3 linked regions of the Macaca fascicularis genome follow. The protein of the gene in region 2 interacts with the protein of the main gene of each other region in a biochemical or structural test. Links are inferred from orthologs where the notes say so. Each region holds a gene or a part of one and is shown on either strand. Other genes may lie near its edges. The genes, in order: USP51, histone H2B type 1-B and UBR7.

Region 1 (8,057 bases), on a different chromosome or scaffold from region 2:
AAGTGCTCAGGGCATCATGAAGCAAGCCTAGTCAGAGCTTGGAATTCAGAGGTCTCTGCATGTGTGTGGGGAAAAGAGCTGCGTCTTTATTTTCACCCACCTCTAACTTAAAGTGATCACGTCCTAAAACTATGGGCCTAGGCATGAAACTCCACTGATAGTAGTACTACATGTGACTGTGTCGCCAATAAAAATTTCGGTATCACATTACACTTCTATCACATTTCTCAGAGTATCACTTATGCTCAACACTACTTTGAAACTATGGTAGTTATTATACCCATCTTGCGATACTTATGTAAGGTTTAATAAAAAAAAAAATCTCCTCATATCACAATATCTTTCTAAGAGTACAAAATGTCATCTCCATACTATGCATTTTTATAATCCCATGTATTTAGTTATATATATTTATGTTAAATATACCATTGTCTTAAGGGATCCACCGGCTGTACCAGGATACCAAAGGGATCCAAGGCACCAAAAGGCTGAGGATCCCTACTCTGAAGGTTAATATTAGGGGTCAACTTGATTGGATTGAATTGAAGGATGCCTAGATAGCTGATAAAGTATTGCTTCTGGGTAAGGGTGTTGTCAGAGGAGACTGACGTTTGAGTCCGTGGACTGGGAGAGGAAGACTCATCCTCAATGTGGTTGGGCACCAACCAGCGCGGGTAAGGCAAGGCAGATGGAAGTAGGTGGGACAAGCTGGCTTGCTGAGTCATCTGGCTTTCATCCTTCTCCCATGCTGGATGCTTCCTTCTGTTCCTCCTGCCCTTGGACATCAGACTCCAGGTTCTTTAGCCTTTGGACTCTTAGACTTACACCAGTGGTTTACATGGGGGCTCTCGGGCCTTGGGACACAGACTGAAGGCTACACTGTTGGCTTCCCTATGTTTGAGGCTTTTGGACTCAGACTGAGTCACTACTGGCTGCTTTCTTCCCCAGCTTTCAGACGGCCTGTCATGGGACTTCGCCTTGTGATCATTTGAGCCAATTCTCCCTGATAAACTCCTTTTCATACATATACATATACATATACATATACATAAACATATACATATACGTGTGTGTGTGTGTGTGTGTGTGTGTATGTAGGATACATATATCCTATTGGTTCTGTCCCTCTGGAGAACCCTGACTAAAACACCTACTCTAGGGGATGTTTTGAAATGAACATCCAAGGGCAAAGGGAAGGCAATGGACTGACAGGCCGGATGTTTTCACATATGTAATCTCATGTGCACAGACAATACAGAGGCTTCTGTGGTTGAAGTGCTGGAGCCTAAAAAAGCAGAAAGTGAAGCTGAGGTTGGACCTACTCAGGGGTAGAGGGAGTTGGAGTAAGTTGGGCAGTTTCCATTTTAACCAAGAGACCACAGGGAGTCACCATGGGTCTGTGGGCAGGAGAGGGCACACTCCAGTGGTGTCTGAGGCTGTTGCTTCAGACACCCGGAGGCAGACCAGCTACGAGCTGGAGCACAGGAAGTAAAGGAACAGAAGAGGGGATCCATCAAGTGAGGGGGCAGGGGCAGGAGGCTGGGCAGACAAACGTGGGCCCCAAAGGACTAGAACCCAGTCCATGGCACCCTCCCTGCAGCCCCAGTCAGGGCAGGTAATGGCTCCAAGTCTGCCCTTTGGGATGCTGGCCTCTGAGAAGCGAGGTCATTGAGGGGAAGAGGCCCAGGTTGGGAGAAAGAAGGCTGTGTGAGGCTTCAGGGGTCCAGTTTTCAAGGTACTGAGTGAGCCACCAGGAGCACAGAGGCAGGCTTTTTCCCAATCCTGCTCTTTCATACACCACCCCACTCCCAAAGGAGCCCGCCAGACTGGCCACAGCTAGAATCTGTAAGAGACGCCAACATAACACAGTCCTGGGAAACCAGCTCCGTCAGACATGGTTCCTGCTACCAAGGCCAGAGTGCATTGACCTGGGCTTCTTTACACATAATCCCACAGCAGTGGTTCTCAAAGTGCCATCTCCATGCCAGCAGCATCCGCATCAGCTGGTACAGCGTTAGAAACCTAAATTATTGGGCCTCCCCAAACTCACTGAACTGGGAACTCTGGGAGTGGGGTCTAGCAGACTGTTAAGTCCACCAGAAGGTTCGATGCCACTTCATTTTGGAGGAACCTGTGAACTCCAGAAAGGCCTAAACCATGCAGACCCATTCATTTTCGTTTTGACAGAAGTGACCCATCACACTGTTCTGAGGTTTTCCTACAGGACAATTGTCAATGAAGAAATCATTTGTTTGGTCACCATAGCGTGTGGGCTGATTTAAAGGTGTGTCTAGCTCAATAACAATTGTTTTCAGAAACTTTTTGAAGCACTGTAACAATCCCACCTCCCAAATGTTAAGTTGTTGATTACGAGTGGTTTTTAGGCCTTTATTAACTAACATTAATCTTCACAGCACATTCCTTTGCATTTCCTGATGTGGATCTCAGGCAGAGACTCTGACTGACTTGCTTTTGTGCCCAGTTTTGTTTGGCTGTATATTCATAGTGCCCAGGGCAGCAGTAGGTGCTGTTTACATATCTGCTGCATAAATGAATCTAGGTAGGGCTGGCATTCTCATGATTCTGATTTTGCACAAAAGAAAGCAAAGGCTCAGAAGACAGAAGTATTTATAAATTGTGCCCTGCCTCTCTGCCTGCATAAAGGGTGCAAGGCTGTCTCAGAGCAGCTGGGATCCACGCCACAGGTGGCGCAGCTAGCAAACGACTGACTCAGCATTTCCTTCTAGCTCTGCGAATGCAGAAGCAACTCTTTGCTTAGCTGTGACTGAGAAAATGCCCTTCCCTAGGGGAAAAGAAACACGTTTTCCTGCACAAGCCAGTCTATAATTCCAAAGCACTTTCCCTCCAGGTGCTGGTAGGTGACTGAGATATGGTCGAATCTAGACCAAGTCATAAAATCACTGATATCCACAGTGCGGACATATCCACTAGATGCCACTGCCAAGTTAAAGAGAGCTGAATCCTAATCGTGAGGTTTTGAGGGGAGATGTGTGACTTTTTCAGAGAGATTAAATGTAGCATTAAACATCCTCTGTAATAAACCGTAATTTTCTTGGGATTGGACAGGAAGGGCAACAAGCCCTGGAGATAGCTTTCCTCCGGGGTTGTCACCTTGGATGCTGGATCTGTCACAGAAAAGGAAAAGTCTCCTGGCCTATGGACTTCAGGACACAAACAGTTGTATCTTGTGCTTCTCACAGCACAATCTAGTGCTATAATGCACCGATGGCATCTTTGTTGAATGCATGCTCCTGTACATGAACCGCCTAGGAGGGATGATAGCGTGAGCTGAGCCATAACTTGGAGAGAGCTTCGAAAGAGAAAGGCATTCTCTTCTCCTCTGCTCTGCATCAGTTGTTCTCTAGGCTGATTTTCAGGTCGGGACTGAAAAAAGAGGTGTGAAAGATAAAGCTTGCCAAAAAGGTCTTTTACTTGATATATACTATGACTTAGTGTTCACATTGGGTTAGGGTTATTATTTCAATTTCTCTTAAAAAATTGACACAACTAAGGCTCAGAGAAGTTAAGTGTTTTATCTGAGGTCACACAGCAAGCATGTGCCTGGGCTCAGGTCTCTCTGAGCCTGAGCCCTTGCTTATGCTTCCTCCCCTGCACATTCTGGGATAATCTCTCTCTCTCTCTCTCTCTCTCTCTCTCTCAACTCCCAGAGACCAGACTCTGACAGGATCCTGAGGGATTTCTGCCAGGGAGTTGCCATCTCTGGAAGCCCCCACCCCCATGCCGGGCGAATCTTTTTTTCTGTGGAGTGCGGGCCTGGAGCTAGGTGAGGCCTGAGCCTCCATTTCAGGGGCTTTCTGTAGAATCTGTTGCTGCTGTTGCCTCCAGTAGAGTCTGTTTCAGGAAGAGGTTTGCCTGCCTGCGCGGGACAGCGGTGCCATTCATCACTGCAGGAGGGCAGAATCCGGGGTTGGGGGCCGCACGTCGAGAGGGGAGGGGCCAGGGGGCGGCCCCCTTGTGACCAGCCCTGAGGAGAGGTCAGGAGAGAAGGCTGGCTGAGGAGCGCCTGGACAGCAGCAGTTGCTGACGTTCTATATCACGCGCCTGGGGCCCAAGGTAACCCAGACCTTTAAACAAACCGCCGGGCTGGGGGCGTTGCGGGGGCAGGAGAGGGAAAAGGGAGCGGGGACTTCGGGGATCGCCCGAGGATGGTGGTGGCCTTAGAGGTGGCAAATGCCTGAAGGGAGGGAGTAGTAATCCGAATTCTAGGAGAAATCGTAGGAATTGAAGTCGCAGAAGCAAGAAAAGGGGTGTGAGAGCACAAGAGCGAAAAAGCGTGAGAGGGCGCAAGAGCTGGGCGGAACGAAAGTGCGCTGAGGGGCAACGGCTTAGAGTGGAACACACCGGGTCACAGAAGTATAGATAAGGTAGGAGCAGAGGGACACTTTCTTCCTCTGAGTTCATTTTCCAAAAGTGCGTCCTTTCAGCCATTTTTGAGAGAAAATGTTGACCCAAGTGTTTTTTAGGATACAGGGAAAGAACGTCAGAGGAAGCTGCACCAAAGCGAGGCTGCGCAGGGCGCAAAAAAGCAGACAGAGGGTGGCGCCTTTTTTAAAGAAGTTTCCATCCTTTCTGTCCTAAAGCTCAGGCCGTTCCCCACCCCCACCGCTCGCTAGCCTTCTGTTCCCAGTCCCCTGGCCCCTGCACGATCTGAGCGTCTTTAAAGCAGGTAACCGCCTCGGTCTCCCCATCAGCTCCAGGGGCCTCTCAGTTGAGTGGGTGGAGCCGGCAGCGGCCGCGGGCTGAGCTCAAGGGCCGATGGGAGGGGTCCTGGGGGCGCTAACTGCGCACTGCGGCCATGACGCTGGGCAGATCATTCACAGAAGTCTGTCTCGTTTCATCTACAGTCGCAGCTCGTTTCCAGACGCCTTGCTTCTCAGGTCGAGCAGTGATCTGATGGCCCAGGTTCCAGAAACTTCTTTGCCCTCCGGCTCTGGGGCCCGCTGGATCTCCGGAGGTGGGGGAGGAGCCTCTCCTGAGGAGGCGGTTGAGAAGGCGGGGAAAATGGAGGCGGCGGCGGGGGCGACGAAGGCGTCTTCGGGACGGGAAGCTGAGGAGATGAAGCTGGAGCCATTACAGGAGCCTAAGCCCGTGCCGGAGGAGAACTTGACGTGGACCAGCAGCGGCGGCGACGAGAAGGTGCTCCCTTCAATCCCCCTTCGCTGTCACAGCAGCTCCTCGCCCGTTTGCCCGCGCCGCAAGCCCCGCCCTCGGCCCCAGCCCCGGGCCCGCTCCCGCAGCCAGCCTGGGCTGTCGGCCCCACCCCCGCCTCCGGCCCGGCCCCCGCCCCCGCCGCCACCCCCGCCCCCATCCGCACCGCGGCCCAGGGCCTGGCGTGGATCCCGGCGCAGATCCCGACCTGGGTCCAGGCCTCAGACACGGAGAAGCTGCTCTGGTGACCTAGACGGGTCGGGGGATCCTGGCGGCTTAGGGGACTGGTTGCTGGAGGTCGACTTTGGTCAGGGTCCCACAGGTTGCTCTCATGTGGAGAGCTTTAAAGTAGGTAAGAACTGGCAGAAGAACCTGAGGCTGATCTACCAGCGTTTCGTTTGGAGTGGGACCCCAGAGACTAGGAAACGTAAAGCAAAGTCATGCATCTGTCATGTATGTAGTACCCATATGAATAGACTCCACTCTTGTCTCTCCTGTGTCTTTTTTGGCTGCTTCACTGAGAAACATATTCACAAACATGCAGAAACAAAGCAGCACCATTTAGCTGTAGACGTTTATCATGGGGTCATATATTGCTTCATGTGTAAGGATTATGTATATGACAAAGACATAGAACAGATTGCCAAAGAAACAAAAGAAAAAATTTTGAGATTAACTTCCACCTCAACAGATGTTTCTCATCAACAGTTTATGACATCAGGGACTGAAGACAAGCAATCAACCTGTGAGACAAAGGAACAGGAGCCAAAATTGGTGAAACCCAAGAAAAAGAGAAGAAAAAAGTCAGTCTATACTGTAGGCCTGAGAGGGCTAATCAATCTTGGGAACACTTGTTTTATGAATTGTATTGTTCAGGCACTTACCCATATTCCTCTACTGAAAGATTTCTTCCTCTCTGACAAGCACAAATGTATAATGACAAGCCCCAGCTTGTGTCTGGTCTGTGAAATGTCTTCGCTTTTTCATGCTATGTACTCTGGGAGCCGAACTCCTCACATTCCCTATAAGTTACTGCATCTGATATGGATCCATGCAGAACATTTAGCAGGGTACAGGCAGCAGGATGCCCATGAGTTCCTTATTGCAATATTAGATGTGCTGCATAGACACAGCAAAGATGATAGTGGTGTGCAGGAGGCCAATAACCCCAACTGCTGTAACTGCATCATAGACCAAATCTTTACAGGTGGCCTGCAATCAGATGTCACATGTCAAGCCTGCCATAGTGTTTCCACCACCATAGACCCATGCTGGGACATCAGTTTGGACTTGCCTGGCTCTTGTGCCACATTCGATTCCCAGAACCCAGAGAGGGCTGATGGCACAGTGAGCAGGGATGACCACATACCAGGAATCCCCTCACTCACAGACTGCCTACAGTGGTTTACAAGGCCAGAGCACCTAGGAAGCAGTGCCAAAATCAAATGCAATAGTTGCCAAAGCTACCAGGAGTCTACTAAACAGCTTACAATGAAAAAATTACCCATTGTGGCTTGTTTTCATCTCAAGCGGTTTGAGCATGTAGGCAAACAGAGGCGAAAGATTAATACCTTTATCTCCTTTCCCTTGGAGCTGGACATGACTCCGTTTTTGGCCTCCACTAAAGAGAGCAGAATGAAAGAAGGCCAGCCACCAGCAGATTGTGTGCCCAATGAGAATAAGTATTCCTTGTTTGCAGTGATTAATCACCATGGAACTTTGGAAAGTGGCCACTATACCAGCTTTATCCGGCAACAAAAGGACCAGTGGTTCAGCTGTGATGATGCCATCATCACCAAGGCTACCATTGAGGACTTACTTTACAGTGAAGGGTATTTACTCTTCTATCACAAACAGGGTCTAGAGAAAGACTAGTCTTACCAGACCACTTACTGAAAAAAAGTAAATGATTAGGCAAGGATTTTGAAGTGACACACAGACCTACTTGGAATGGACAATAACACCTATATGACAGCTAGTATCTTGATGTAAAGAACCTATTTTAGCATGGCCCATGGGTCTGTAGGAAGAAAAAAAATGAATACTAACCAGTGACCATTCAACCTTAAGAAATGGGGAGAGGGAGAAGAGGTTGAAAATGGTCACATAAAACATAATGAAATGAAAAGAATGCTTTAGGTGGGGACAATGGGAGTACAGGTGTTCTGATGCTACTATGTCATTTGTTTCTACAGAAATATCTTGTGAAGTCAGGGAGTATTCCTTTATCAGCAAAAACTTCACAATTGGTGTTCCAGCTGTGGCTGACCAGCCAAATAGTTTGAAAGAAAAATGATATTTTAAAATAAAGTTTAAAAAGCTTTAAAAGAAAAACATTTAAAAAGGAAAAATCATTTTTAAGGTTTTAAAAGAAAAAAAAATTTAAATGTTGAAAAAAATTTAAGTTGATATTTTTTAAATAAATATTTTAAAAGTTAAAAATAATTTTTTAATTTAAAGAAGTTTCAGAATTTTAAAAATTAAAAGCAAATTAAATTCTTAAAGTTTAAAAATGTAAAATAAGGAACAAGGTTAAAAATGAAAGTTTACCAAAAAAAGGAAGAAAATACTGTTAAAAATTAAAGTTAGAAACAAAAGAACATCTTAAAAGTTTCAAATGAAGGAAAATAATATAAATAGATATTTCAAAATTAAAGCATAAAATATACATATTTAAAAAGTGTTAACAAAATTACTACTATAATGATTAAGAAATAAATTTTCAAAAATACAGAATGGAATGCAATTCAATTTTAGAGAAGTTTTAAAAGAGGAAAGTTTAGAATAATTCAATACAAAAAGACAAAATTTGTTTAAAGACAAAAATTGAAAAAATATAGGAAGAAAATAGAGACTTGTGAAATAAA
Region 2 (8,057 bases):
TATATATGATAATATGAAACTATATATGAGAAGGAAATTATATATGATAATCAATTTCAGGGTTATCTTATTGATTAGAAGATATTAAAGTGTGACACTGCCTGGCAATGATTATCTGCTAGTAGTAAGAATTTGGCCAATTTACTGAAATTCCTGAGGCTGAACCTCCACTTCTGTAAAATGGAGGCAGTGAGATAATTTGCATTACAATGCTGAAGTAAGAATTTTACACAATAATTCAGACCAACCACTTCATGTAGTACTTGATCCATGGAAAACTATCAATGACAGTTTATAGTTTATAGTATTAATGAATCCTTTATTGTTATTTCCTTCTACACATTGTCCTCTCTAAAAGAAGGTAATATTCAATACAAATAAAGTTATAACAGCTTACAAAGTTGTCCCAGGGAATTCACTTAACCACTGAAGTGTTCAAATTGCTTAAGGTTGACTTTATATTCTCCTGACTAAGATTCCCCCTCTGGTATTTCTTCTGAGAACAGCACCAGCATCCAAAGCATCATGCAAACAGTGGTCATCCCAGAACAGTAATTCTCAACTCATAGGGTGCTCCTGCAGAGATGTATTTGAATAGAGTAGGTAGGATGCTAAAGAAGGCCACGTATAATTTGGCCAGTGATCTGAGGCAGATTTATCCTGAAGCTAATGAAACACAAGTGTAAGGGCCTGTACTTCCAAGGTGCTGAGAGGGGCCCTACAAATGTGTTAGTTTGTCTCTCTCTTTTTAAAATTTGCAGTATTAAGGTATTTTAATCACAGAAGGTTAAGACTGTTATTTCCACTCAATCTTCCTTTTTATTAAAATTCATCATTGTCTGATTATGTTGGAATCCTGATGAAAATATTTGGAATTTGAGTAAGAGAAAGTTTAGTTGAAGATGTGTCTAGTATGGGGATAATAAGTTACGTGATTTGCATATGTGTTCATGTGTAGTTCATTTGTTGCCAGCCAATCTGATGTAAGAATGGCTCACTGGAATAACTCACCTAAATTCCTGGCAAGATACAGGTCTAGATAAAATGTTATGACATCTAAGTATTCAAAACACCTTCCCAGCACTGAGTGAGTGTCTAGTGGAGAGTAGAAATGTATAGAGCCAGAAGCTAGTCTGGAAAGAATTCTTACAAAGTTTACAACTTACATGTGAAAGGAACTTGACAGAGGATTTTCCAAATTTGAAAACAATCCTAAAAACTTACTTGACATTACCAACAATGTGTTTTGAAACTGAAACTCTTCTAAGTTATCAAGAAAACATATTATCAATAGCCACCCTGGAAGAAAGATTGGATTCTATTTCCATTACCTATAGACAATATTACAAAATAATTTCGATCTGAAGATGGAGAGTATTCAGTCAAAACTATACGAAAATATACATCGTTGTGTCATATTCAGAAATTAATACAATTTGCTATTTTCTAAATTTTGTGATGGCTATTGTTTTGTCAGCTTTTATAAAATTGGAGTTTGATTTTATTTTCCCATTATAAATTAATATTTACAGTTTGCAGTACATTTGCATTTTTAATTTTACATTAAATATTTATTAAAAGAGGACATGGGTAAAAGAGCTTTGCAGTTGCTACCCTTCTCAAATCTCCTGGATTTTAAGGATGACTGCATAATCTTTAGATGATCATACGCAAGTCATATGTATTTGTTGCATAAATTTAGTGGACTTCTGGCTGTGTGTACTGAGGCCAGTTTTTTCCACCTGAGCTCTGACTCCAGTTCCAATAGCCCAATACCAATACTGATTTTTGGGGTATTAATGTTTTTGTGAACTTTGGGTAACTATACGCACATTGTCCTTACGATAGCTTTAATAAAAATGCCATCAGACCTAAAATTGGCAGGTGGATTAAAAGAAGTTTCACCAGAAGCCTGTTTCGAAATGTTAAGTATACACATATACATGTTAAAAAGACAAGATCCCTAGGATTTAACAAGGGCAAAAAAGTCACTCAACTGGCTTTCTTGCAGTAAAACCGCCCCAAAAGAAAAGGCCTGATGTACTCGTCTGCAGTTATTCAAAGCGTGTGTACTTATCTTTAAAATCCTCTACATCTCCTGGGAACTACCGAATTGGTTACAACTGTTTTTAAGTGAAATTGTAAGTGGCTCTGAAAAGAGCCTTTTCAATTAGGAAGCAATAAGCAGACTTATGCCCTTTCCCCACGGATGCGACGTGCCAGTTGTATGTCTTTGGGCATGATGGTGACGCGTTTGGCGTGAATAGCGCACAGATTAGTGTCTTCGAAGAGCCCCACCAGGTAGGCCTCGCAAGCCTCCTGCAGCGCCATCACCGCAGAGCTCTGGAAGCGCAGGTCGGTTTTGAAGTCCTGCGCGATTTCTCGCACCAGGCGCTGGAACGGCAGCTTCCGGATCAGCAGTTCGGTGGACTTCTGGTAACGGCGAATTTCGCGCAAAGCCACGGTACCGGGCCGGTAGCGGTGAGGCTTTTTCACCCCACCTGTGGCCGGAGCGCTCTTACGCGCCGCTTTAGTAGCGAGCTGCTTCCGCGGCGCTTTGCCGCCGGTGGACTTGCGAGCTGTTTGCTTTGTACGAGCCATCTGCAATGACCCCCACACACAAAAGCGTACTGAACTGAGAGCAACCGGTCTTTAAATATAGTTAGAAACATTCTGATTGGTTCTGTAATATTTCAAAAGTCCCGCGCGATAAAACCATTGGCTGAAGAGTGACCAGCCTGATTGGTTCATTACTAGGCAATCTTATTGGATGAATCGCCCCACCGCCCATCATGTCCTTTTTGTTTGTTATCTGCAGGGATAAATTGTCTAAAATTCTAGTTCATCCAGTCCCAAAGAACAAGGTACATAACAAAGCATCTACGGATTTTTTTAATGTAAATTCCGATTCAGTAAGTTTGCGTGGGACTTGAAATTCTGCATTCCTGACAGTCTTGAAAGTTATCAGTGCTGGTGAACACTCACTAAACCACCAGAAACGTTGACTGCCTCATGTCGGAAACTACTTACATTCAGAGAATGAGAATTCCATGCTATTTTGTTACTGGTCAACAGCCAGTTTCCTTATCCTTCGTTTTCTAAGTCCAAGTCACATTCCCACCCTGACTGTTCTCAAACTGTCTTATTTTGGTTGGCTTTAGTTTCACTTTGTATACTCTAAAATGTAGTTTCTTAAAGAAGATATTTCCTCGAAACTTAATTTTTAAACACCATTAGGCTAGGGGGGCCGTGGCTCACGCCTGTAATCCCAGCATTTTGGGAGGGCAAGATGGGAGGATCACTTGAGGCCAGGAGTTCAAGACAACCCTAGCTAAAATGGTGAAAACCCCGTCTCGAATAAAAATACAAAAATTGGCTAGGCGTGGTAGCAGACGCCTGTAATCCCAGGTACAAAGGAGGCTGAGGCATGAGAACCTGGTGAAGCCGCGGGGTGGAGGTTGCAGTGAGCCGATATCGCGCGGCGGCATTCCAGCTTGGGTGACAGAGCGAAACTCTGTCTCAAACCAATCCAAACCAAAACCAAAAGGTACCCGAAACACAAGCAAGTTACCATCCTTTCTTGTGAAACAATGGACGGTTCTGAAAAATGCCGTAGCAAGTTTAAGGTACGTTTTCTGGCTTGAGTGGGCTTTACTTGCTTTTGGCCTTATCGTGGTTCTCGGTTATTTTTGCAACAGGACGGCCTGAATATTGGCCAGGACGCCTCCCTGAGTAATAGTGACTTTGCCCAGCAGCTTGTTGAGCTGCTCGTCGTTGCGGAAGGCCAGCTGCAAGTGGCGGGGGATGCTATGGGTCTTGTCACGTATGGCGCTGCGTGTCAGCTCCAGGATATCGGCGGCCAGGTATTCTAAGTACAGCGGCGCGCCGGCTTCGACAGGCTCAGAATAATTGCCCTTTCGAAAAAGACGATGGACCCTGCGCTACTAGAAACTGCAAGGCTGGTACCGATGAACAACTTTGTGCTTTACTTCCGTTTTCCATGTCCAAACACAGCGACCTCTGAAAACTGTAAAAAACAAGCAAGATGGAATGGCGCCTGAAGAAATACTTTTATACAAACTGCAAGGCTGCAATAGAGAGTTATCCTATTGGTCAATTATGTTTCCTGCTTTATCCAATAGAAAAAGAGTCCATAAATTCCATATTTGCATAAACCCCACCCCTCAGTGAAACTGTATTTCTTTTATCCAATCAGAAGTGAGGAATCTTAAACCGTCATTTGAATCTCAGGACTATAAATACGTGGGCTCTGAACTGTTCTCTCTACTACTCTGCTGGAGAGTGTTAGTAGCTTTTTTGTTTTGTTTTAGGAATAGCGATGCCTGAACCCTCTAAGTCTGCTCCTGCCCCTAAAAAGGGCTCTAAGAAGGCCATCACTAAGGCGCAGAAGAAGGATGGTAAGAAGCGTAAGCGCAGCCGAAAGGAGAGCTATTCCATCTATGTGTACAAGGTTCTGAAGCAGGTCCACCCCGACACCGGCATCTCCTCCAAGGCCATGGGGATCATGAACTCCTTTGTCAATGACATCTTCGAGCGCATCGCGGGCGAAGCTTCCCGCCTGGCGCACTACAACAAGCGCTCGACCATCACCTCCAGGGAGATCCAGACGGCTGTGCGCCTGCTGCTGCCCGGGGAACTGGCTAAGCATGCTGTGTCCGAGGGCACCAAGGCTGTTACCAAGTACACTAGCTCCAAGTAAGTGCTTATGTAAGCACCTCCAAACCCAAAGGCTCTTTTCAGAGCCACCTACTTTGTCGCAAAGAGAGCTATAACCACAATTTCTTAAGGTGGTGCTGCCTCTGTTCTGCTTCAGTTCTAGAGGATCAACTAGAATGTTAGCGAAGGCAACTTTTAGAGCCAAGGTTAACTTGGGGCAGCGCGCCGTGGCTGTCGCCTTTAATCCCAGCATTTTGGGAGGCCGAGGCGGGCGGATCACTTGACGTCAGGAGTTCGAGACTAGCCCGGCCAACATGGTCTCTATTAAAAATACAAACGTTAGGAGGGTGCTGGCGCTCTTTCTCATCTGCCTTTAGCAAACTTCTTTGTTCCCCCTGGGTAAGCCTTCGGGTACTAGTTGTAATTCATTTGATATGGTCACTACTCCCTCCCTGGTCTAGCACAGGAAACTTTCCTTTCTGGATAATGAAACAAGTAATGCAATTCAGGGTACAGTGTTTCTATGGGGGTCATTAGCCGTTAACCGCTTGAGATGAGGGGGAGGGGAGCAGAAAAGTCTAAGCGACAAAAGGGCGTGTAGGGATATTTGCTCCTGCAGTTTGCCTATGCTGTAAATTCTTACCTCCAGTAAGAAGGAAAGATTTCCTCCAGTATTGAGGAAACAGTAAGCGAAGTCTGATTTCCCGGGCGCCTTTGTAGGGAATATTTCCCGTTCCACAAAATGAAATCGCAGTAGTTTTGCGTTATAATTGTTTATCAATGACAACAGCTATGTAGTTTACATATTTCATGCATCCCAGAAATCCAGATTCCCATTTCCTAGGCCACTTAAAATTCGGATTTCCAGCTCTGCGAGATACAAAAGGGTTTGAATTTTGTGCCTTTCCCCAACTGGCCCTACTGCAAAGATACTAGGAAGGCCCCACTTGGAGAGGGAAGCATTTTTCAAGAAATCCGGGACGCCAAAAACAATATAGCTAGAAAAAGGCAGGAAGGGTACTAGTTGAGGAGGACTTAATGGGCCAATTCTTGGTCTGGGGCTGGGGGAAGAAATGGAAGAAGAAAAGAACCTGTTGATTGCACACTAAGTAGGAGGGGATGGGGGAATCGGAGGGGAGTATTTTAAGTGAACTTACGGGCATTATATGTAGGTGACATTCAGCAGTGTCTTCGGATGAAGAAATAAAGTTTCTCAAACAGTTATTGTTTCTGTTTTGAGAAATGGTCTTGCTCTGTTGGCCAGGTGCCATCATAGCTCACTGCAGCCTCGACTTCTCCAGCTCAAGCTATCCTCTAACTTCAGCCCCTTGAGTACCTGGGACTACAGAAATGCGCCACCACACCCAGTTAATTTTTTAATTTTTTGTGGAGGCAAAGGGTCTTACTATCTTGCCCAGGCTGGTCAAGTGAACTCCTGGGCTCAAGTGATCCTCCCGCCTTGGCCTCCCAAAGTGCTGAGATCGTAGGAATGAGTCACCGCGCCCGGCCCAGATTTAATTTTTAAGAATATTTTAAAAGAGGTTCTGGGCCGGGTGTGGTGCAGCTCACGCCTGTAATACCAGCACTTTGGGAGGCCAAGGTGGGAGGATCACTTGAGCCTAGGAGCTCAAGACCAGTCTGGGCAACTTAGTGAGTCTGTCTCCACCAAAAATTTAAAAATTAACCAGGCCTGGTGGCACATTTCTGTAGTCCCAACTACTGGGGAGGTTGAAGTGGGAGGATCATTTGAGCCTGGAAGGTGGAGGTTGCAGTAAGCTGTGATGACACCACTGCACTCCAGCCTGGGTGAGGACAGACCCTGTCTCAAAAATAAAAAAAAAATCTGGATGCCACACAAAATGTCAGTGAACAACTGTAAGTGAAGCACTTCCCATCCTAGTACTGTATATGCAAACTACCGTTGTGAAAGAGACGCTTGTGTTTTAAAAAATCTATAATTTTTTTTAAAATTATAAAACGACCACCTCCCCCAAAACATTACTAAGCAATTGAGGCTGCAGTTTAAGAAACTGATATTTAGGATCTTTCCCCGGAGAAGTGAGACCTGCTAATATAAGCATTTGCAAAATGAACTTTTGGGCCAGGTGCATCATGCCTGTAATCTCAGCACTTTGGGAGACTTAGTCAGGCAGACCACTTGAGCTCACAATTCGAGACCAGCCTGGGCAACATGGCGAAATCCAGTCTCTACAAAAAATTAGCTGGGCGTTGTGGCATATGCCTATAGTTCCAGTTACTAGAGAGGCTGAGGTGGGAGGATTACTTGAGCCTGGGAGGTAGAGGTTGCAGCAAGCCAAGATCGCGCCGTGACAACCTGAGTGACAGAATGAGACACACCCCCCCAAAAAAACAGCCTGACTCATTAAAAAAAAAATTTAAAAATATTAAGTTTTGAAGCAGATATTATTTTGTCATATGTTCTTTCATAAATTTTTTGCCTGCCTGCTTTCTTCCTTTGTTACAGAACTCCAACACTTATCCAAAGGTAGCTGTAGGGTCAGGGTTTCTGTATTATAGTCCCTTCTGTGGTGGCCAGAAATATGTTACAGGAAAGAGGTCCCCATCCAGACCCCAAGAGAGGGTTCTTGGATCCCGCGCAAGAAAGACTTCAGGGTGAGTCCGCAGTGCAAAGTAAATGCAAGTTTACTAAGAAAGTAAAGTGGTGAAAGGACAGCTACTCCATAGACAGAGCAGGACATTCCGGAAAGTAAGAGGAGGAAGGCATCCACCCTGTAGGTACAATGCTTGTATATATGGGGAGATGTGCTCTGCTACACGGGTTTGTGATAAAGGATTGATTTTTTTAGTTACTATATTTTGCAAGAATAGACATTATTATCTTTAAACAAAATTAGGAATGCCTTTGTTCTCCAGATATAGGGATATCTGGACACTCCCAGGTCTGAGTCTGTTTAGTAAACATTATTTATTTGTTCCCTTAACCATAAACATCTAGAAGCTAGGAATGATTGACTTTCTGGGAATGCAGCCCAGCAAGTCTCAGCCTCATTTTCCTAGTCCACACTCAAAATGGAGTCACTTTGGTTCAAATGACTCTGACACTTTTCTTCTCCTTTTTCCTTCTTTCTTTCCTTCCTTTTTTTTAAAAATAAGAAATCAAGAATACTTGATGTTTTATCTAAAACAATACCCATAACTGACAAGCCAATACAAAAACCTAGGTCTTCTAACTCAAAACTAGGATGTTTTGCTGTCTCTGTTGATAGTCTGCTGATCGTTAATAGATAATTAACAAACAAGCCTTCCTATGTCCCCTCAGTTTATTACCATTAGATCATATGCCTACTGTCAATCGTATTAATCCACAACTATGCATTTCACTAAACTTACCATAAAAA
Region 3 (7,957 bases), on a different chromosome or scaffold from region 2:
TTAAACTACCATAGTTTTCATAGTTTAGATTTTGTAAAGAGATTTCTTTAGGCAAAGGATAAAATTGAAATCCAAAGCCATAAGTTTACAGAATTAATTCCGCTTCAGTTTTCTTTCTTTTTTGTTGAGACGGAATCTTGTTCTGTCGCCCAGGCTACAGTGCAGTGGCATGATCTCGGATCACTGTAACCTCCGCCTCCTGGGTTCAAGCAATTCTCCTGCCTCAGCCTCCTGAGTAGCTGGGATTACAGGCAAGTGCCACCATGCCCGGCTAGTTTTTGTAATTTTAGTAGAGATGAGGTTTAACCATGTTGCCAAGGCTGGTCTCAAACCCGTGACCTCAGGTGATCTGCCTGCCTTGGCCTCCCAAAGTGCTGGGATTATGGGCACGAGCCACTGCACCTGGCCCAGTCTTATTTCTTGATGGCTTGTACTTCACATATTACCTGGAGATCAGATTCAGAACTAGAGCTAGCACATGGTTCACTGTTCTGCTCTGCTTTAACCTCCTGGACATCATCCTTTCCCTGTTCTGGAACATCCTCTTTGAGGGTACTATCTTGATGCTCTCCATTTTCAGCTTTAATAACTTCCTGATCACCTATTCCATCAATGTTCCGCACCAATCCATCATCCTCAGTGGATATTTTGGTTACTGTGGGTTCAAAGAAAAAAAAAGAAAAACACATACACACATATCCACTGACCTAACAGACAATAAAATCCCAACAGACAATGCAATCACTTATTCTATTATTATTATTATTATTATTATTTTTTTTTTGAGACGGAGTCTTGCTCTGTCGCCCAGGTTGGAGTACAGTGGCCGGATCTCAACTCACTGCAAGCTCCGCCTCCCGGGTTTACGCCATTCTCCTGCCTCAGCCTCCCGAGTAGCTGGGACTACAGGCGCCGCCACCTCGCCCGGCTAGTTTTTTGTATTTTTTAGTAGAGACGGGGTTTCACCGCATTAGCCAGGATGGTCTCGATCTCCTGACCTCGTGATCCGCCCGTCTCGGCCTCCCAAAGTCCTGGGATTACAGGCCTGAGCCACCGCGCCCGGCCTGTTATTTTTTTTTTTACAGACAGATTCTCACTCTGTCACCCATGCTAGAGTGCAGTGGCATGGTCTTGACTCACTGCAACCTCTGTCTCCCAGGTTCAAGCAATTCTCATGCCTCAGACACCCGAGTAGCTGGGACTACAGGTGCGTGCCACTATGACTGGCTAATTTTTTGTATTTTTAGTAGAGACACGGTTTCGCCATGTTGGCCAGGCTGGTCTCGAACCCCTGATGTCAAGTGATCTGCCTGCCTCAACCTTGCAAAGTGCTGCGATTACAGGTGTGAGCCACCACGTCAGGCATACAATAGCTTTTGCTTTTTTTTTTTTTTTTTTTTTAAGATGGAGTTTTGCTCTTGTTGCCCAGGCTGGAGTGCAATGACGCAATCTTGGCTCACTGCAACCTCCACCTCCTGGGTTCAGGCAATTCTCCTGCCTCAGCCCCCTGAGTAGCTGGGATTACAAGCATGCGCCACCATGCCTGGCTATTTTTTATTTTTAGTAGAGACGGGGTTTCTCCATGTTGGTCAGGCTGGTCTCAAACTCCTGACCTCAGGTGATCCGCCCGCCTCGGCCTCCCTAAGTGCTGGGATTACAGGCATGAGCCACCACATCTGACCTAAAATCGCTTTTTCTGGTTTTAAAATATTTCAGAATCTGGAAAAAGAGATTAGTCCACCATAGTCTCCGAAATACTGAGAAAGAAAATACTAATGCTTCTTTAGGTTATGTCTGTCTAACCCAAAGAATTCAAATAATTGAACAGTTTATTTGAAAATATCAATCACTGCTTAAGCACTTTACACATAAAGGAGAAAATAATGTACTGTACTTGTTAGAGACAGAATAATACAAGAAGTAGGAGGAAGAGATTGAACTGTAAACACAGACAGAAGGGTACTTTTTTAAAAACAGCTTTTCTTTATGGGAGGAAGAAATAAAAAAATGATGGGTGTAGCAGCACATATACTCTGAGACAGAGAAGAGAAACGATAGGGGAGCTCACATTGGATGCCAGCATTTCAATGTAATAGGAGATGAAGCCATCTGCTGACGGGAGAGGAAATGAAGGGAGAGGCAGGAGATCAATTTAAAAAACCCAATTAAGCTGGGTATGGTGGCTCACACCTGTAATCCCAGCACTTTGGGAGGCCAAGACAGGTGGATCACCTGAGGTCAGGAGTTCAAGACCAGCCTGGCCAACATGGTGAAACCCCTTCTCTACTAAAAACAGAAGAATTAGCTACGCATGCTGGCGCATGCCTGTAATCCCAGCTACTTGGGAGGCTGAGGCAGGAGAATTGCCTGAACCCAGGAGGCATAGGTTACGGTGAGCCGAGATTGTGCTACTGCACTCCAGCCTGGGCAACAGAGCAAGACTCCGTCTTAAAAAAAAAAACCCAACGAGTAAGAACTATACATAGATAGGTTCAGTATTTGTGGACAGTGAGAGAGATCACTGGAAAGGGTATGAACAGAAAGGGAGCAGCACTTAAGAACTCTGAGGCAAACTGGCCAGGCGTGGTGGCGCACGCCTATAATCCCAGCACTTTGGGAGACCGAGATGGGTGGATCACTTGACATCAGGAGTTTGAGACTAGCCTGGCCAACACAGTAAAGCCTTGACTCCACTAAAAATACAAAAATTTGCCAGGTGTGGTGGCATGTGCCTGTAGTCCTAGCTACTCTGGAAGCCACATCACAAGAATCGCTTGAACCCAGGGGGCGAGGTTGCAGTGAGCCGAGATAGCACCCCTGCACTCCAGCGTGGATAACACAGCCAGACGTTGTCTCAAAAAAAAAAAAAAAAAAAAAAGACAGAAAAACATGAGACTGGAGGTACAGCTATGCTGCTCATGGTTTGTACAGTGAACTGATCTCTAAAGATGAGAAGGGCAAGAAATTATGAAGCCAAAGCAGCAGATACTACGAGTTTAACTGCCACCTTAAAAATATATTAAGAAACACATAAAGCATTACCAGTAAGACATTTAATGCCTCAGGACCATTCATTAATTAGTTGTTTTAATTTCTTAGTGTATAATAAAAGCACCAGATAGGCTGGGCATGGTGGCTCATGCCTGTAATCCCAGCACTCTGGGAAGCCAAGATGAGTGGATCACTTGAGCTCAGGGGTTCAAGACCAGCCTGGGCAACATGGCGAAACACTGTCTCCACAGAAAATACAAAATTAGCAGGGCGTGGTAGCGTGTGCCTGCAGTCCACTTTTATAAGGGCACTAATCCCATTCATGAGGGCTCGGACTTATGAAACAGGCCCAAGCGAGCTTGTTTGCCCCTTTTAACAGGTACGGACACATAAAAGGCTCCATCTGTGAGGAATGGGCACTCAACCAAACCACTGACTCTGCAGGCACCTGAATTTTGGACTTCCCAGCCTCCAGAACTGTGAGAAATATCCGTCTATTGTTTATAAATTACCCAGCCTAAAGTATTTTGTTCTAGCACCCCAGATAGACTAAGACACCACCCCCTCGCCAACCGATACCATGTGTTATAATTAACAACTTATTTCAGTTCTATGTATCTTTCAAAATCCATTTGAAAACTGCCTCCTCCATTTTCTCTAACTCTGGTCTCATCAATATTCTGCATCATATCATTTAAGTATAAATTTGTTTTTGGTAGTGTCCCAACCAATCTATGCACCTTGCGGAGAAAGAACACATACTATTTTTTGGTTTTTTTGTTTTTGAGATGGAGTCTCGTTCTGTTGCCCAGGCTGGAGTGCAGTGGCATGATCTCAGCTCACTGCAACCTCTGCCTCCTGGGTTCGAGCGATTCTCCTGCCTCAGCCTCCTGAGTAGCTGGGATTACAGGCACGTGCCATGATGCCCGGTTAATTTTTGCATTTTTAATAGAGACGGGGTTTCGCCATGTTGGCCAGGCTGGTCTCAAACTCCTGACCTCAGGTAATGCACCTGTCTTGGCCTCCCAAAGTCCTGGGATTAGTGAGCCATCGTGCCTGGCCAGAACATATACTATTTTATAACCACAGAGTTAAAAATAGTTGCTAAAAATTCTGAATTGAACACACAAATTTCACAAGCACAAGTTTATGGCACAGCAACTTCACAAAGATACCTACCTGCCAATTGCGCAGCATAAGCCCACAAAAAGGAACAACGTTTCATGCAGGCCTGGCATACCATCTCTTGAAAATCCCCACTCTCGGGGGGAATGGCACCAAGATGCTGTGAATACAGAACACCAAAAATTTTCTTGTGATTGCCACACTGTCCAAAATGCCCATTATTTTACAAATAAATACTGTAATAATACACTGATCATATCACTAAAATTTATTTTTAGAAGAGTAATTATAATGTAAAATATAACCTTTATCTCTTTGTGATGACAATGGTTTCAAAAGGTAGAACATTTTCCTTACCCTTCCATGGAACCAATCTTCACAGACCACACACTGGATCATCTCATCTGGAATCTAGCAGAGAAAAGCAGTTTGTTAAGGAGTACACTGAATTCGGGAACATGGAAGTAACCTGGCACGCAGTAGAATAAGATACTAAATATTCGTTCCACATGAACTGGTGTTCCAAAGGCTTACATTGAGATAAGCCCTCTACAAACAATCTCAAAGCTCTTTCACATCAGTTACTTAATATCTGATTCTCACAAAACGGTGTAGACAAGGAGGGCATTCCCATTTTATACAAAACTCAGGCCCAGGCAAGTAATGTGAATGGACCGATGCAGACAGTGACAACTGGGACTTTTTACCACACCATCCTTTAATACAATACTCAGTTGTATTACTGTATAGGATGGTCACTCCAGCCTTCTTTATGATATTGAAAAATTAGACAATGCTTTTCTGCTGCAGAAAAACCATCCTGCCAAGTACACTGAAAAGTAAATGTCAGGAAAACCCTCTTGATAGATAACTCCTCTAATTTGAATAAATTAAATAATTAAATGCTGGCCCTAGGAAAATAATATACCAAAGAACATAGACTATTTGGGAGATGACTTTCTTTTATTCCCAGGCTCTCATAACTGTTAATTAACATCCCAATGTTGTTCTGTCCTTTTCCTATTGTAGGCTTCTTAAAGGGAAAAAAAAAGCACATATTGTGGAACAGAAGGAGCTGTAACACTTTACTACATGCCTTAAAATATCCAGTTTTGGCCAGGCACGGTGGCTCACGCCTGTAATCCCAGCACTTTGGGAGGCCAAGGTGGGCGGATCGCCTGAGGTCAGGAGGTTGAGACCAGCCTGGCCAACGTGGTGAAACCCTGTCTCTACTAAAAATACAAAAATCAGCCAGGCATGGTGGCAGGTGCCCGTAATCCCAGCTACTCAGGAGGCTGAGGCAGGAGAATCGCTTGAACCCAGGAGGCAGAGGATGCAGTGAGCCGAGATCACGCTACTGTACTCCAGCCTGGGTGACAGAGCGAGACTCCGTCTTAAAAAAAAGAAAGAAAAAAAATTTCAGTTTTAAGATTTTATTTTTGCTAACTCAGAGAACTTCAATCTGTCCCTGTACATAATTTGGTTTAATAATTATAGTTCGAACGCAATTAGAAAACAAGGAAGAAGGCAGAAGGCTAATATCTCTAAAGACAAAAAGTACTCTTTCAAATCAGTAAATACCCAAACAAAACCCAAACCAATCAAAACATGGGCTGAGGATATGAAAGGACAATTCAGAGGGAAGGTTATTACGGATGTCCAACGAACTCATGAAAAGATGCATAATCTCACTTATCATCAGGGAAAGAAAAAAAATTTAAGATACTATTCTTCATTTATCAAAATGGCAAAATTTCCAAGAACTGGTAATATTCAGGGTTGACAAAAGTGTTGGGGAAAAAACATTATCATATACTGTTGCTGGTTCAACTTTTTTGGCAGATATGATCACAATTTTATTATTTATTATGATTATTATTTTTTGAGACAGAGTCTCGCTCCGTCACCCAGGCTGAAGTGCAGTGCCGCAATCCCGGCTCACTGCAACCTCTGCCCCATGGGTTCAAGTGATTCTTGTGTTTCAGCCTCCCGAGTAGCCAGGACTACAGGCATGAGCCACAGTGCCCGGCCAATCACAATTTTAAACACCACAAATACACTTTGATCTGTCAATTCTACTGATCCATTCTACATAAATACTTGGAGTATACTCAGTTGTATTACTGTATAAGGATGTTCACTCTAGCTTTCTTTATAATATTGAAAAATTAGATAATGCCATTCTGCTGTAGAAGAACAATTCGGTTGACTAACTTATGGCATATGAAGTTATAGGATACTCTGCAGCAGTTAGAATGGGGTAAGTGTGTTTGCTGACATGAAAGAATGTCTATGATATACTGGTGAGAAAAACCAGCTGCAGAAGTGAGTGTACAGAATTTTCACTTCGGTTAATGGAAAGGAAATTACACATTGAAACACATTCACTCAAAACACTTTAATGTGCACAGAAAAAGACCTAAAAATACACACACCAAAAGTGTTAACAGTGGTTAGGCTTGGGAGGTAAGAGGTGCAGGAGTGAGGAAGAACTCGTTTTGAATTTGGCATATATTTCTCATTGACATTTTTTTTTTTTTTTTTTTTTTTTTTTTTTGAGACGGAGTCTCACGCTGTTGCCCAGGCTGGAGTGCAGTGGCGCGATCTCGGCTCACTGCAAGCTCCGCCTCCCGGGTTCCCGCCATTCTCCTGCCTCAGCCTCCCGAGTAGCTGGGACTACAGGCGCCCGCCACCGCACCCGGCTAATTTTTTGTATTTTTAGTAGAGACGGGGTTTCACTGTGGTCTCGATCCCCTGACCTTGTGATCCGCCCGCCTCGGCCTCCCAAAGTGCTGGGATTACAGGCTTGAGCCACGGCGCCCGGCCGACATTTTTAAGAGGATGCTGTTTGTATACCCCATTTCTTTCCGTAGAGAGACAGAAGAAATTGAAGGTCATTTCTTAGAAAGTGTTAGGGGGCAGGGGGAGGCAGTCAGGGAAGGAGAGGAAGGGAAGAAGCTCTGGCTTTGGGAAAGTCCTCTCCAATATTTCATTCTTTTTTTTTTTTTTTTTTTCTTTTTTTTGAGACGGAGTCTCGCTCTGTAGCCCAGGCTGGAGTGCAGTGGCCGGATCTCAGCTCACTGCAAGCTCCGACTCCCGGGTTTACACCATTCTCCTGCCTCAGCCTCCCGAGTAGCTGGGACTACAGGCGCCCGCCACCTTGCCCGGCTAGTTTTTGTATTTTTTTAGTAGAGACGGGGTTTCACTGTGTTAGCCAGGATGGTCTCGATCTCTTGACCTCGTGATCCGCCCGTCTCAGCCTCCCAAAGTGCAATATTTCATTCTTATGATGTAAAAATGGAAAGAACGGTTGAGATGTGTACCAATTATAGATCCGACCCAGATTCATAAGAAAAGATAAATCTAGAACCCTTTCACCATCCCGCACTGCCTCCCGAAGAGCCAGAGGCTCAGATATGACAAGCAGTTGAGGAATCAAGGCTAGAGGGGACACACTCCCAGGTTTAACTTCCAATTCTCTTACCTCGTCTTCAGGATCAGGATAAGGTCTCTTGCAAATGCAGTACAATCCAAAAAAGTTGTCATTGTACTTATTGCCAGAATTTACCTTTGCTTTGTCCTGAAATATAATATTGATTTCAATAATAATATGGTCTAATTTTAACTATAATTTCACACATTATAAAATTAATACATTCAATACATTTCCACATTATTTCCCCCAAGAGGCTGATCTTTAACTTTCAAAGTAGGAAAAAAAAACCTCACTACTACTAAAGGGATACTTTTTTCAGGATACAGGGAAAAAATAAAATTTTGTGTTTGTTTTTGTTTTTTTTGGTGGTAATTAGGAGAAATTAAATACACCTATTCAGTAAAG

The links.
Region 1: the proteins of histone H2B type 1-B (region 2) and USP51 form a complex in vitro, tested with the Homo sapiens proteins (2 studies listed by BioGRID, with this or other methods). The link is inferred for Macaca fascicularis from reciprocal best matches to the Homo sapiens genes H2BC3 and USP51.
Region 3: of the proteins of histone H2B type 1-B (region 2) and UBR7, one has a biochemical effect on the other in vitro, tested with the Homo sapiens proteins (2 studies listed by BioGRID, with this or other methods). The link is inferred for Macaca fascicularis from reciprocal best matches to the Homo sapiens genes H2BC3 and UBR7.

The regions. Positions count from the first base shown.
Region 1 is NC_088395.1:55,604,813-55,612,869, forward strand, and holds USP51 (ubiquitin carboxyl-terminal hydrolase 51), read left to right. Parts: upstream 1-4,036; 5' UTR 4,037-4,095; exon of another isoform or gene 4,096-4,622; 5' UTR 4,623-4,797; coding exon 4,798-7,065; 3' UTR 7,066-7,312; downstream 7,313-8,057.
Region 2 is NC_088378.1:146,881,821-146,889,877, forward strand, and holds the start of histone H2B type 1-B, read left to right. Parts: upstream 1-4,286; 5' UTR 4,287-4,339; coding exon 4,340-4,716; intron 4,717-8,057. Other genes in the region: histone H3.1, read right to left, coding at 2,191-2,601. UniProt on the Homo sapiens protein: Core component of nucleosome. Nucleosomes wrap and compact DNA into chromatin, limiting DNA accessibility to the cellular machineries which require DNA as a template.
Region 3 is NC_088381.1:161,213,541-161,221,497, reverse strand, and holds part of UBR7 (putative E3 ubiquitin-protein ligase UBR7), read right to left. Parts: intron 7,697-7,957; coding exon 7,601-7,696; intron 4,528-7,600; coding exon 4,474-4,527; intron 4,277-4,473; coding exon 4,171-4,276; intron 656-4,170; coding exon 447-655; intron 1-446. UniProt on the Homo sapiens protein: E3 ubiquitin-protein ligase which is a component of the N-end rule pathway. Recognizes and binds to proteins bearing specific N-terminal residues that are destabilizing according to the N-end rule, leading to their ubiquitination and subsequent degradation.